Linked DNA regions of Coturnix japonica. The protein of the gene in region 1 purifies or fractionates together with the protein of each later gene. This does not show direct contact. Links are inferred from orthologs where the notes say so. Each region holds a gene or a part of one and is shown in the gene's direction. Other genes may lie near its edges. The genes, in order: HNF1A and PCBD2.

Evidence for each region.
Region 2: the proteins of HNF1A (region 1) and PCBD2 purify together in Homo sapiens (affinity purification with mass spectrometry; 4 studies listed by BioGRID and IntAct, with this or other methods). This does not show direct contact. The link is inferred for Coturnix japonica from reciprocal best matches to the Homo sapiens genes HNF1A and PCBD2.

The regions. Positions count from the first base shown.
Region 1 is NC_029530.1:8,069,885-8,076,736, reverse strand, and holds part of HNF1A (hepatocyte nuclear factor 1-alpha), read left to right. Parts: exon of another isoform or gene 1-1,300; intron 1,301-1,339; coding exon of another isoform or gene 1,340-1,384; exon of another isoform or gene 1,385-1,710; intron 1,711-4,519; coding exon 4,520-4,719; intron 4,720-5,572; coding exon 5,573-5,759; intron 5,760-6,038; coding exon 6,039-6,277; intron 6,278-6,428; coding exon 6,429-6,586; intron 6,587-6,852. Other genes in the region: SPPL3 (signal peptide peptidase-like 3), read right to left, coding at 1,340-1,384. UniProt on the Homo sapiens protein: Transcriptional activator that regulates the tissue specific expression of multiple genes, especially in pancreatic islet cells and in liver. Binds to the inverted palindrome 5'-GTTAATNATTAAC-3'.
Region 2 is NC_029528.1:2,498,880-2,505,669, forward strand, and holds the end of PCBD2 (pterin-4-alpha-carbinolamine dehydratase 2), read left to right. Parts: intron 1-2,504; coding exon 2,505-2,585; intron 2,586-3,283; coding exon 3,284-3,379; 3' UTR 3,380-3,384; intron 3,385-4,198; 3' UTR 4,199-4,397; downstream 4,398-6,790.

The DNA.
Region 1 (6,852 bases):
GAGCCCCAGTTTCAGCCAAAAAGTTAGAAGTGAATTTATGGAGGAATATAATAGATTAAAATTATTGAAGGCAAAGTGAAAACACTAGGAATTCTGTATTGTCAAGTATCACATGTCTGATCAAAGATCTATATAAATATATTCAAAGCAATTTTATGTCTGCAAATCTATTCAATCTACCTGAACCAATATCTGGGTTTGATAATGTTTAGGCAGTTGTTGCTCACTAAAACATTTTTTTGTTTTTAAAAATAAACCTTTAACCATTAACAGATGCCAAAAGGTAACGTCCTTAAAATGATATTGTAATTACAGCCAGGACAGAAGAATCTGTAATAGGAATTACTCTATAATAGAAACTACTTCTAGCAATGAACAAAAGAAAGGAAGGCAAGAAATTTCCAAGCCCAGGTATTCCCAGTAGAACTTCAATGACTGCAAAACTACCTATTTCAGCATCTACACAAGGATTTCATGTTGAGAAATCAGATGGAGGATCTTTTGCCTTCATAAAGAAGTTTCTTCAGGCTAACAACTCCTGGTCTGATACTGCAGACCACATTTTAACAGAGATTGACCTGTGGGCAGCTATAGGCAATACAAGAAAGCCCTTGTGGGTTTCTGCTAGACTTTCTGGGTGATGGAAAGGAAAAGTGACGGCACCAAGAGACCCAATATATCCTCACAGGACCACTGAAGTTGGAAGTGCAGTTTCAGAAGCACTGAACAAAGCCGAGTGATCTAGGAGTTCAACAAGAGACATCCACGCAACTGGGATCCTATGGGCATCTATTACATTTTGTCCCTGCCGAAAACGACTGATAAAGGCAATTCAGACTAAAGCTTCTCTAGAGAGAAACTGACATGTTATCATTTCATCCCTAAATGTCTCATTGATCCTCCACAAATCTGCAATCTGAGCAAATCTAGATCACTATACGGACAGAAAGAACGGCCTGGTATTACCTACAGAAGGCAAGAGACAGGCATCCTTGGGAGCAGGGACAGACTGTGTTACTACACATCCGGAGGATGGCAAGAGCTATAGCAGCAGTTCACCTGAAGGGCAAGAAGCAAAATTCCATTAGGAAAGAGAGAAACTGAGATAAGCAACAGGTTTCCCCTAGAGGCAGGGTCAAAAGCATGATTTCCTTGAGACAAAAAAAATAGCCATGTGATGATAAAGAGTCAATATCTTCCTCATGTAAACTGTCTTCATGCAGCCGTAACTGGGGAATGCTGAGATGGAGCTGCCACACCCCTTTCATTTCCACATATAAACCAAGATAAAGTGAACCAGGCCAAGTTCATCAGAAAGGAGCCCTGCTGATGGTCTTACCTGCCCTGCTCTCTGCCCAGCACGGCTCCAGGTGTGCACTGGCATCAGTGAGGGTTGTCTAGCAGGCTCCAGAGGAAAGGGGCAGAGCACAGTGCTGAGAACTTCACAGCTCTGAACCTCTGCTTAAGTGAGCTCTGGTCCAAACAGCAATTCCGAGCCTACGAAGGATTCTCTTGCCTGAGAATTTGAGAACAAGAAAGAAGGAAAGGAGAAATGGGGGGGAGGGAAGGGAAAAACAGGGGGGGAAGAAAGGAAGGGAAGAAAAAGAGAAAGAAAGGAACAAAGGAAAAAGAAGAAAAGTCAAGAAGAGTGAAGGAAGGAGAATGTCCCCTGAATGTTACATCTCCAGCTCTCTGGAATGGGTTTTCTTTAATGCTAACAACTTGATATTTACTTTCCATTTAAATTTGAGATGTTGCTATAAATTATCAACCAGCCTCTTGTTCCCTTTGAGTTTATAACTAACTACCTGGGTTACTTATTGTTCAGGTAACAAAAGGGAGGTGAAAACGCCCTTAAAAAGTGACCTCAAAACTAAGAAAAAGGGAAGCTGGAATGGAAAGAAGACCCAGGCCCCTGTGGCTGGGATGAGTCAGGGAAAGAGGCCGTGCTCAGAAGCAGGAAGAAGCTGAAATCAGGACAGCAAGATTTGGGAAATAAGCATTGTGTAGGAAGAACTTCCAGGAAGAACTTAACATCTCTAAAACAAGAATGGGATGAGGGGTAGCTTCTGTTTGGGAAGAACGAAGATAAAAAGGCAGGAAATGTGCTTGTAGGTAGAAGAAAGCTTGACTGAGGCACACCCAGTTCTAACTCACTGTGGAAGTGAGATTTTAGCACACCTACAACAGGAAAACTGACAGTCAGTGACAGTCCTACCACTGGTGAAGGAATTAAGGTTTACTTTATGATCTGTGTGACAACACTGCAGACTCTGCAGGTGGAACCGAGCATCTGGGCAGGTGCTCATCTCAGGGATCAGCTGAGCAGCTGCCATTGCTTGTTTTGTGATGTAGTCCAGGGCCAAAATAAATTGCTGCGCTGGTATTACAGCCTGTGTTTTGATGGTGTACAGAGTAGCTTGGATTACATGCAACTACCTTATGAAATTATACTGTGGTAAGAATTCCCTGCAGTGCTTTCCCTTACAGAACTCTCTCTGCTTTGTCTCAATACAAAACAAACAAACAGAAAAGAAAGCACAAGGCTTTGAACTACAGTGAAAAAGAGACGCTCAGATTATTCCCGCTTTGTTCCTACCACAAAGAAGTGAGGATCTTGACAGGGGAGACAGAAGCGACTCGCCATCAGCCTGCAGGAAGGAAATCAATATGTAACAGTGGTTTCCATCAGTAATGACACAGTCCTTCCTTTCCCCATCTGAGCCAGAACTCAGATCTAAGGGAAGAGATTGCAAGTCTCAGCCTTTTCTCTTATGTGCAGGAACAAATGCAAGGCACATGTGCTGGCTAGACTATAACACAAATACAGAGGGAAGAACAACACTAAAGATGGAATAGCTCTGTACATCCAGCCCAATTTGAGGCTTCTGAAAAGATGAAGATAGTTAAGAGAAGAGGCCAGAAGACTGAAGCCTCTGTAGCAAGTGTACCATCATAAAAGAGAAGCAAATGGTCCTATTTTAAGAAAGCAGGTTCTTCAGAGAACCATAACCATCTCTGCTTCTGCCATACTTTAACTGCAGCAGAGCTTGCTCCTTGGACTACCCAGCCACTGTGAAAGGCTGCGAGGGGAACAGAGATAAGGGTATTTGCACTGAGAGAACAGGTGTGGACTTTGTCCTGCTTATCACTTTGCAGCCTCTGGCAACCTACTGAATCAACAAAGCCGCCAACAGTACAGCTGTTGCCAGTCGCTCAGATCTCTGTATTCTTGCAACACATCACCCACAATATTAGACATATTTTTTCATCTCTGCTGCTCCTTTGATGCTGGTGTTAGATGCAGCACCGCTGTATTTCTACAGTGCACAAACCTTCTCCATCAGACATCCTGCATACAAAACACAGAAGGATGCTTTGTTAAAACTGAACCAGAATCTTCTCCATAGGGAGACTCCTGAGTTGACTGGTTCTAGGCTGCATGTTTTCCAATCTTTCTATTTTTACTGTAGTTTTCAGTCTCAGTGAAACTGACAAACACAAAGAAGCTGCAGTCAAAGTCACATTCTCTATTCTCACAAATTCATAGAAAGCCTCAGGTTGGAAGGGGCCTTAAAGGTCATCTAGCTTTAGCTCTCCTGCTGTGGGCAAGGTACCTATTAGATCAGAGCCCCATCCAACCTGGCACTGAACACCTCCTTAGGAACAGTTGTGGATATTCTAATTAGAGGTCTTAGTCAGAGATTCACGTTCATTATAAAATCCCAAATCAGATTAGCTTCAAGTTTTCCACCAGCTGTTATCCCAAAGGAGGGTGGCAATTAATAGGTTGCCTGTTCTTTATAGCATGTAGGAGTCTGAGTGGATCTAGATGTTAATCAGTATGTTCACATAATGCAAAGCTGATGCACAAAATCATAATGCCAGATTGCTTGCTGTATACATATTACATGCATAGCTGTCCTGTGACAGTATGATGAAAGCCTGTTTTCATAGCCTGAATCACTGCCATGTTTCTCATCCCTGACAAGATTTAGGGCATGAGCTAGGTTCAGCATAGTAACACAGTGAATCTGTCCTGGAAAAATGAATTACACCTGTCCCAAGCACTTATGCCTTAAAGAAAGAGGACAGAGAAGAAAAGGTTTGTAGAGAATGGCAAGATAGTTGTCAACTCTGAAAAATAGATATCTGTAGTCATAACACATCCAGCTGAATGCTGAGATACAGTGCAACTCTCTCCCTATGGCATTATTCACTAGCAGCAAAAAACGCCTTATTACTTCCCAGCAGAATGGGATGTACATTCCTTGTCCGTGTCACTTGTCAGCACCTTCTGTCATTTGCAGATGACTGTTGCCTGAACGGAGCTTTGTATTTTTATACAAAGCCTTGTATAAAAATAAGATGGCAAAGACTGCAGCCACGTTTTGGAAAGTTCCCCCAGTAGCCACAGATGGCTCCTTCTAAGTGGATATCAAAGTGCCTTGCAATGCAGGTCTGCAGAGTGCAGGTGTTACTGACAGCTCCCCTGAGAAGTGTTTTCTGCTCCTTCTAGAGAGGATCCCTGGCGGGTAGCAAAGATGGTGAAATCCTACCTCCAGCAGCACAACATCCCTCAGCGCGAGGTGGTGGACACTACTGGTCTGAACCAATCCCACCTCTCACAGCACCTCAACAAGGGCACTCCCATGAAGACCCAAAAAAGGGCAGCCCTCTACACCTGGTATGTCCGCAAGCAGCGAGAGGTGGCCCAGCGTAAGTACAGCAGCAATTGTTCTCCACTCTCAAACTTCATAACAGCCTCTGCTCTCCTTGCTAACCCCTACTGCCCATTTCTATCAGGGGCAAAAAGGCAGAAAAAGCAATTTCTGGAGGAACCCAACTGCACATGGAAAAACACTTCATCACAAAACAGCCTGCAGTTCCCGCTCCACCCATCACTTCCCTAAAGAGATGCAACATTATTCATTTGCCATTAGAGTTGGAAATCCATACTCAGACTAAAGCAGCGTACCTGACACATCACAGACATTTCTGTCTGAGCACTGGGCTGGTACAAATTTCAGCTAAAGCAGCAGTTCCCTTAGCTGCAAAAAGCAGCAATCTATTGTACTTGCTGTAACAAACCACTGTAACAAACAAATCACATCTTGCTCCAGGCCCTCTATATACAGACATCCACTGGTAACCCATCACTGCAGCATGCACCTCTGAATTTAGGAATCCACCTGGAATACATCAATTAACTTTGTATTTACGAGTTGCAAGTAAAATGAGACAGCCTGGGTGTGGGTCGTTCTAGAGAGCAGGACCCCAGTCACACTTACTCTCAAGCCTCCCACATCTGTTTTCACTTCCCCAAGGAGAGAGCTGAGGTGCAATGCATGCAAGAGAAAGGGTGGTCGGTCAACACAGTCCTGCTAGGAATATCTTGATTGTTTTAGCAGATTAAGGAACTTTATTTTTACCCTGTCTAGATTCAAGCCTCTGTTTTGTATGATGTTTTTCTCCAAGAGTAAGCTCTTACCAGGCCTGCTGTGAGAAAAACAGATCTAACTGCTGAAAATGCTTCCAGAAAAATGAACTCTCTTGCCCTTTGTGCCTGCAGAGTTCACACATGCTGGTCAGGGGATCTTGACAGAGGAGCCCATGGGAGACGATCTGCCCACCAAGAAGGGACGAAGAAACCGCTTTAAGTGGGGGCCGGCCTCCCAACAGATTCTGTTCCAAGCCTATGAGAGACAAAAGAACCCCAGCAAAGAAGAGAGAGAGGCACTAGTAGAAGAGTGCAACAGGTAAAGAAGGGTGCCTGGCTCTGAAGAAGCTGAGTCTTTGCATCCTCGGTGTGCTAAGGCCCACATGAGGGTTGTGGCATCAGCCACATTTGCATGACACGCTACCACCAAACATTCCCCTTTTGCTAAGGAAGCAGCAATGCCCCATTGTCTTGCTGTACCCAGCAGGACCCTTCCCCATGGTGTATAAGAACACAGCCACTTTGGGGCTGCACACTTACTCCTGCCTTTTGACCAAGGCAGATTCAGCAGAACTCTTGTTGTGCTCTCTCCTAACAGAGCAGAGTGTATCCAGAGAGGCGTTTCCCCATCTCAGGCCCAGGGTCTGGGCTCAAACCTGGTGACCGAGGTGCGAGTGTACAACTGGTTTGCCAACCGCAGGAAGGAGGAGGCTTTCCGGCACAAACTGGCCATGGACAACTTCAGCAGCCCGCAGCCCACCTCTGCTCCCCCCCTCACACCTCACAACTCTTCCTCCCTTCAGCCACCTCCTGCTCTTTCACCCACCAAAGTTCACGGTAAGAAAAAACCAGGGGGAGATCTGAAAGGGAGACAGCAAACCTGCCCCCTTTGACCTAAAAGTCCAGAGATGAGCGCCCACAAATGAAACTGAGCTCAGCACTTGGTGAAGTGTCTCAGTTTTAACAGTTCCCTCCCACTGTGATACAGGAGTGAGGTACAACCAGCAGCCAGCCAGTGAGGCAGAGTCCTCCAGCAGCAACCACCACGGGAACAGCTCCATGGTGACCACCCAAACCATCCTGCATCAGGTTTCTCCCCCTGGGCTGGAGCCCAGCCAGAACCTACTGAGCACAGACACCAAGCTGGTAAGTGATGTACACCCAAGTACTGGTGACCAGAGGGTGGTCACAGGATAGACACTACAGAAATGGTATTTCCTAGAATCCTTTAAAGCAACCTTATTACACATACAGGACAACCACCTTGCATTGACTTTGCAATATGAGAAGTTGGGATTACTGTGTACTCCAGACTGATGGGAAGGGGAGGCATTAGGACATGAAAGCACAGGCATTTCTTTAATACTAATCTAAACAATCTGCTGTGGAAAAACAGAACAACCAACAACAAA
Region 2 (6,790 bases), on another chromosome or scaffold:
GTCCTGAAAGGTTGATGTTGGAAATGTCTTCCTCTCATTCTGAAAAACCAGAATATCTGATGATAGTTAATATATCAAAGGCTCCTTTCTTTGTGGCTTCTAGAAAACGCAGGCATCCTTTCTCATCCCTCTCTTTGTTTTTCAAGGAAAAATGTGAAAACGTGCCCATTAACGTCAGAGGGGCTGCAGAGCTGTTGGTGCAGTGAAGGTCACGATCGGCGTTGAGAGCCTGTCCTAGCTTCACCCAGTAGCGTGTGTTGGGCTGATGGATTCTGCCCACTGCTGCACTCTTGGCAATGATCTTGCACTGCAGACTGCTTAATAATTTTCATTATTTTTAATTAAAGTTGAAGAAGTGCAGACTCCTGCTCAAATTAAGGTTGGTTGTGTTGCCGGAATGTGGTAATTACTTTAATTGATCACAAGATAGTTTCCTTGATCACCAATTAGACCAAATTACCGATCAAGTTTCAAGACGTGAAGAAATGTCCAAACTGATTTTATGTAATAGTGTTTTCATATCTAATCAAGTCTAAATATCTTTTCCTAGCAGAGCCAATTGTATTTTCTCAAAGAGAGGTTACGGCTCTACAAATATCAAGGCGATTTCCAAACAATAGCATTCCAATTCATTTAATTAGCAGAGGAAGTATTTAGGACCGTAATGGAGATTGCGTTGGTGAAATTGCTTGGTGGAACTGTAGCTCATTTTCTTAGCGGGAGATGCTTCTATTTTGTGTGTAACTGAAACGAGCTGGTACACAAAAGTGAGGGGCTTCAGCAGTTTGCAGTCAGGGAGAGCAGCGGGGCATGGGCACGAGTGTGGGTGCACAGTGTGCTTGGGAATCCCTTGTGGGCTTTGGGCTACCCCAGTCCCAATAACCCAGGTATGTCTGTATGTCAGAGCTGCTTGGATGGACGCACAGACCCTGGTGGGGCTTTCCATAGGTTTAATCTGGCTTTCTTTCTGCTGTTCTTTCTACAAAGGCAATGCATTAGTGGTTGCAATGCTGTCTTAATTTCTCTCTGTATAGGCTGCTGTGGAAATGTATGGGTTGTCAATAGATTCCCTAAGACCTCAATCTTAATAGAGTCTCGTTTGATTCTTGTTGTGACCCTGGGCAGTCTCAGAGCTATTGAATGCAGTGTTTCAGAGCTTTTAATGCAGATGCATTTGGTTGCTGATGTACATCGTACCGCTTTGTGCACCGCGTGCTGCTGGAACATGGGCCATCTTTTAACAGTAATTGTTCGCTCCGAGGAAAATGAAACCAAATGAGAGCTTCAAGGGAAGTTGGATTTCCCGAATTTTGGAATGCTCTTGGGTCAAGGAAAAAAGCTTTTTAATTGCTGACAGTTTGGTGATTTCCAAATGACAAGCCTCATTGGAATGATTTTCTCTGATTATAACGTTTGCATTCATTGGGCTGGCAAAGCGAGTAACAAAGTCATACTTCATCCAGGCACCGATGCTGGTTTTTTTTTTTCTTTTCCTTAAAGGTTTTTGTAATTTGTGAGAGGAAAAAAGACTGAAACTATTATCAGCCATTATATGTTATTCATTGACCACATGTTTGTTTGAAGCGGCCATCGCTTGGTGGAATGCAGGCTATATACATTCTCTTCCATAAATGAGTGCTAAAAACTTACCTAAATCAGATAGGCCTTTGTCGAGATCGTTGCATTCTAATACAAACCAGACTATACCGTGGATGTTACTTTTGCTTTGCATGTTAATTTAGGTCCCAACCCTGATGGATGGAGCGCAGCTTGAATAGAGCCCGTTGGCTTGGAGGCGTTCTGCACACGCACTGAGGCCCTTTGGACCCTGCTGCATAATTGCATTCTTGATTTACATGGACATTCTCATTTTCTTTATAATGCAGTGATTTGCTCTTAAGCATTTTGGCAAGGGCATGCTATTATTTTCTTCTTGAGCCCGTGATAAAACCTGCATCCTGGGGGAAAGTCCTGTGCAGAATATAGGGGCAGAGGATTGGGAAACCCATTTTAACTCACTTAAGGTAAAATATTTCCTCATAAAGCAGAGAGGCAAAGCCACCTGCCTCCTTTCTCCCCCCAAGTAAAATAAATAGCAAAATAGTTACGTGAGGAGATGTGTTTCTGCGAATGGTATCTGTCCAGTATGGGAATATTGTGGCATGGGCCCTAGATGGAAACAGCACATTGGCAAAGATGTAGTGAGGGTGAGGGCTGCTGGGATGGATGTTAAAAACCATTTTTGGGTGCCAAGGGTAAAATCATTGTTCCTGTGCAACAGCTTTGAATCCTGGAGCAAGTAACACTGAGCAGTGATTCACCAGGACTCAAAGGGGAGGATTTCAGTGAGGTCAGGAAGCGCTTTGGTGGCTCAAGGACCAAAAACATTTCTCCAGCAGGTTCTGAGATTTCAGATTGAATCTTGCAGATCAGCTGCCAGAACATCTGCCATCTACATCCCAGCAGATGGAGGAAGGCTTTCCTCTCTGTTCTTTCTCCCTTAGGCGTTTGGATTTATGACACGAGTTGCTCTACAGGCAGAGAAGATGAATCACCACCCGGAATGGTTCAACGTCTACAGCAAGGTAACGTGCCCACCAGCCTGAGTTACACACACACACACCAAAGCACTGGCCCGTCCTCTGTGCCCTTCCTGTGGTTTGTGTGCAGTGGAGGAGCAGAGGGAATGGGGAGGTGATGTGTCTTTCTCTAGAGATGTGGGACTTTAAAGAGATACTGTGATTGGTAGCAGTGAGCTGGCACCAGACATCCGGCTGTTTGCAGCTGCTTGCCGTGTGGCTTGGGGCTGGCACTTTGCCTTGCTGGCTGAGAGCTAAGAGCAGAAGCCTTAAACCTCTTCTGTAGGCAGCCTGTGTGAGTGGCTGTGCTGGAACCTCTGAGTGCCCACCAGCTCTCACTTCTGTCTGTGCAACGTGCAGGTACCTGGATGGCAGCCTAAACTGGGATTTGTTAAACATCCCCAGCCCATGTCTCAGTATAGCAGCTTATAAAACTTGTGTATAACATTGCCTGGCTGCTGCTGGTCTTACTATTACAGAGGTTAGAATGCACTCTGCAACCCTTGGAAGAAAGGTGCTGTGTGAGGGGGGGGGAACCACTGCTCCCCATCATTTTGATTTCCTGGTGCTTCTCACTGCATTGTGTTGCAGTATTGGCAGATCCATGCTGTCCCATAGATACACCTGGAGGAGCTGTGGGTGGGCAGACATGGCTTCCCCATGGGACACCGTCCTTGTAACACCTTGCTGCTCCTTCTTGGCAGGTTCAGATCACCCTCATTTCCCACGACTGCGGCGGGCTGACCAAGAGAGACTTGAATCTGGCTCAGTTCATTGACAAGGCTGCTGCCTCCGTATGAAGCAGGTATACAGCATTTTAAGGCACTGCCTTGTATTTTGAATGGTGTCCCTCATTCACTGTAACTCTGATTTCACAGCCCCCCTGAAGGGACAAAGTATTCTATAAAGAGTGGCATAGCTTTGTTTGTCTTTAAGGCTTTTATCTGAGAGACTCCTGTGAGCCTGTGCTCACCAGTTTCAGTGCTGACTTCCATATCCCCCTTGCTGCTTCAGCAAATAGCACCAGGTCTCAGCTCCCGGTGCTGTTAATAAAACTCTGGGTGTAGTGCTGGGTGGAGGATGGAGCTGTTAGCTCTGCTCGTACCTGCAAGAGGGGAAGAGGAGCCTGGCCAGGTGCCGGCAGTGAGGGAAGCAGCATTAGCAGGATTCTTGCTAAGCTGGGCTCAGCTGGAGCTATGCTCACCCTTCTTGTGGCTGCCAGTCCCTGTGTGCCCTGCGAGCCCCTCGGGTGCAGCACTGGCAGAGTGACCCCTGTGAAATGCCTGCAGCGCGGCTGGGGGTCACCGAGGGCACGGCTGGGAACTGAGACATACACTGAGGGGCAGCAGCTGCCAGGGTCTATTCTGGGTGTGTGTGCAGTGTGTGGTCTGTCAGCTATTTGGGATGCAAAATGCCAGTAGCTGAAATGCAGATACTGCTGTCGGTAAAATAGGAATGGTGTTTTTGTTAATGCTTAGCAAGTGCAGTATCACGTGCTAATTGGTGGCAGGAGGCAAGATGGGAGGTGTTGGGCTTTACTGGTGCTGATGGATATTGATATTAAAACCTAAGGAAGACCTGGATTCAAGCAACGTGCTCCAATGTTCTTTGCTTCATAGTGCCTTTCCCCACTGGAGTGGTGGATTTCAGCTTCAAGTCGGGCTGTGATGTCTCCAGTTCCTGGTGGAGGAATGAAACGAGTCTCACCCAAAGTTTGGATGGTGTCTGCAATGAATGGTGCAAACTCTGCTGTTAGAAATTGATACAGAATGCCAACGCTTTGCATCAAGCCAATAAAATCAAATTCCTCCTTTGTAATTTGTTTCTTTATTATTATACATATGTGACAAAGCTGTTTAGTTTGAAGATAAATAATATTTAGTCGCTGGGTGGTCTTTGGTTTAAAGTGTTGATATTTATTTACATACTCGGAGGAAAAAATCCCCACCAGCTAATTTCTCCCTGGACGCCGCTGTCCGTATGGCACAGAGCTGTGCAGCCACCATACGTCGCAGCTCCCAGCCTGAGGAAGGAGCAGAACCAGCCCAAGAGGAGGAGCATGGCTTCAAAACACTCACAGCAGTGTGTTCTCCAGGTCAGTGCTTGTTCAGCTGTTTATTACTGGGGCATTTCTGAGCTGCAGCCCAATTATGTGGGGAACCCCCAGCGAGCTCCTCATCCCTGCAACGTCTCTCACCCCCATCCTGTGGTTCTGTGAATCCATACTGGGAGCCAGGCGGAGCCACCCAGCTCCATTGCCTTCTCCTGCATCCCCTCAGCTCTCCTCCACCCATGTAGGTGAGGGCAGGATGCTGGGGCACTGTTCAGGGCTCCCTGACCAAGCTGGAGCTTTGTGGGTAATTTATACAGTATGGATTCAGTGACAGGTATGGGATCCCAGCCAGGAAATCCCAGCCTGAGGCTGCATTGCAAGGAGCATCACTGGCTCTGCTCTGAACAGAAGTAGCTGGACTAAGCACTGGGGCTTCTCCAGGTGATGGCATCTCAGGAGCTGCCCGGCTCCATGCAGCAGGTGGGCTCCAGCAACTGCCCAACTCACAGCTTTCCCTGCTGATCAGCTTCTCTTTGGGTAGGTTTGATGGCAGCAGCACCACACTCTCCCCACCGACCCACCCTGCAGCCACTGGGAAGTGCAGTCCCTGCAACACTGATCTGCAGCCACAGGAAATTAAAAGCCAAACACACAGGGCTGGGAATGCAGAGGATGAGGGATGCCTGCAGTGCACTCCTAGCTGGGGATTGCTGCTCAGGTCCTGACAGCCCCAAGGACTGCTCAGGAACAGGGCTGGTCCGTTATCCTATCCCCAGAGTGGGAGCCCAGCTCCAGTAAACTGCAGGATGCACACCCAGTGCAGCAGGAGGTGACCTCCCATCCAGCACTAGGGCTCCTCCTCGTCCCTTTCTGCACCTTGAGCCTACAACATCAATTTTGTAAGCTCTGAGCTGGTAGGTGTGTGCACATCCTCTGGCTTTTTCAGCCTCAGGTTAATGAGCCAGTTGCCAATTAACTGAAGCTAATGAGATCCTCAGCGTGAGCTAGGTTCAGTTTTTCACAATTGGTTGCGCCAAGCAACAAATATTCGTGGCTTGAGCAAAGCTGCAGCTCAGGATGAGCCAAACATATGTGTGTCCTGGAAGAAGCGCTCACGGAGCAGCCAGGCTAGCAGGCACAGCAATGCTGACAAATTGAAATCCATTAACAATTGCTCATTCCCTTTCTCTTTTCTCTCAAGAAAAAAAAAAGCAGCAGAAAGCAAACATGGATGTGAGTTCTCCCGCTGACATCAAAGGCTGTGTTTATGTAAGTGCTGCTCGTGCTGAAGATCTGTTGCAGAGTTGGACCCTTTGGTGAGGAGCTGACAACTCACTTGCAAACGGACTTTGGAGGCAGTCCAGGCACGGCTGCCAGCAGTGCTCTGTGAGAGCCAGGCTGGGCTGCAGGACACGGAGCTACAGCAGTGCAAGGGGAAGCTCTGTGCTGTGATGAAGCTACTCATTGAGCTGGTATCAGCCCTGCTTCAGGCTCGGGCAGATATGGAGGCACAGAAGTGCTTAAGCACTTACATGCCAGTGGCCAGTGGAGGCAGAGCCCGTGGGAGGGCTGTTGGTGCCTTTGGGGTCTGTCCCCTACTGCAGGGCTGCATTAAAAGCAGCCTTGCCAATAATTTCCATTAATCTTTAGCCAAAACAGGCATGGTTTGCCTAAACTGCTCAGTAATGCAAACTCAATTAAGAATCACCAGCCTCTGTTGTTGTAGTGCAGAGTTTCGGTTTATCCTGCAGTAGTGGGGTTTCCTCAGCTGGAGGTGACCTCACAGAGTGATGACATCAAGCAGCAGATCCCGGCACCTGCTGTGCCATGATGTGCAATGGAGCATCCAGGCTTTACCCAGGGAGGGTGACCCACCTCCAATTTTCTTATGAAATTCTCCTATTCTCTATGTGGTGTAACTACAAGATAACACTCACTTCTTCCAGTTCAGGTATGCATGGAGCAAGCTCCTTGTAGGCTGGAGTTAGTGTGTGTGTGTTGGTCGGGTTCATCCTCCAGAAGCTGTTTCTGTGGGAGCTGCTGGTCCTGGGCCAGCAGCTGGAGGAGAACCTGAACCAGGATTCAGCTGCACCTGCCCAGCATGTCCACAGGCAAGATGGATGGCCAGGGGCACCTCATCCCATCCAGCAGCTCTGGG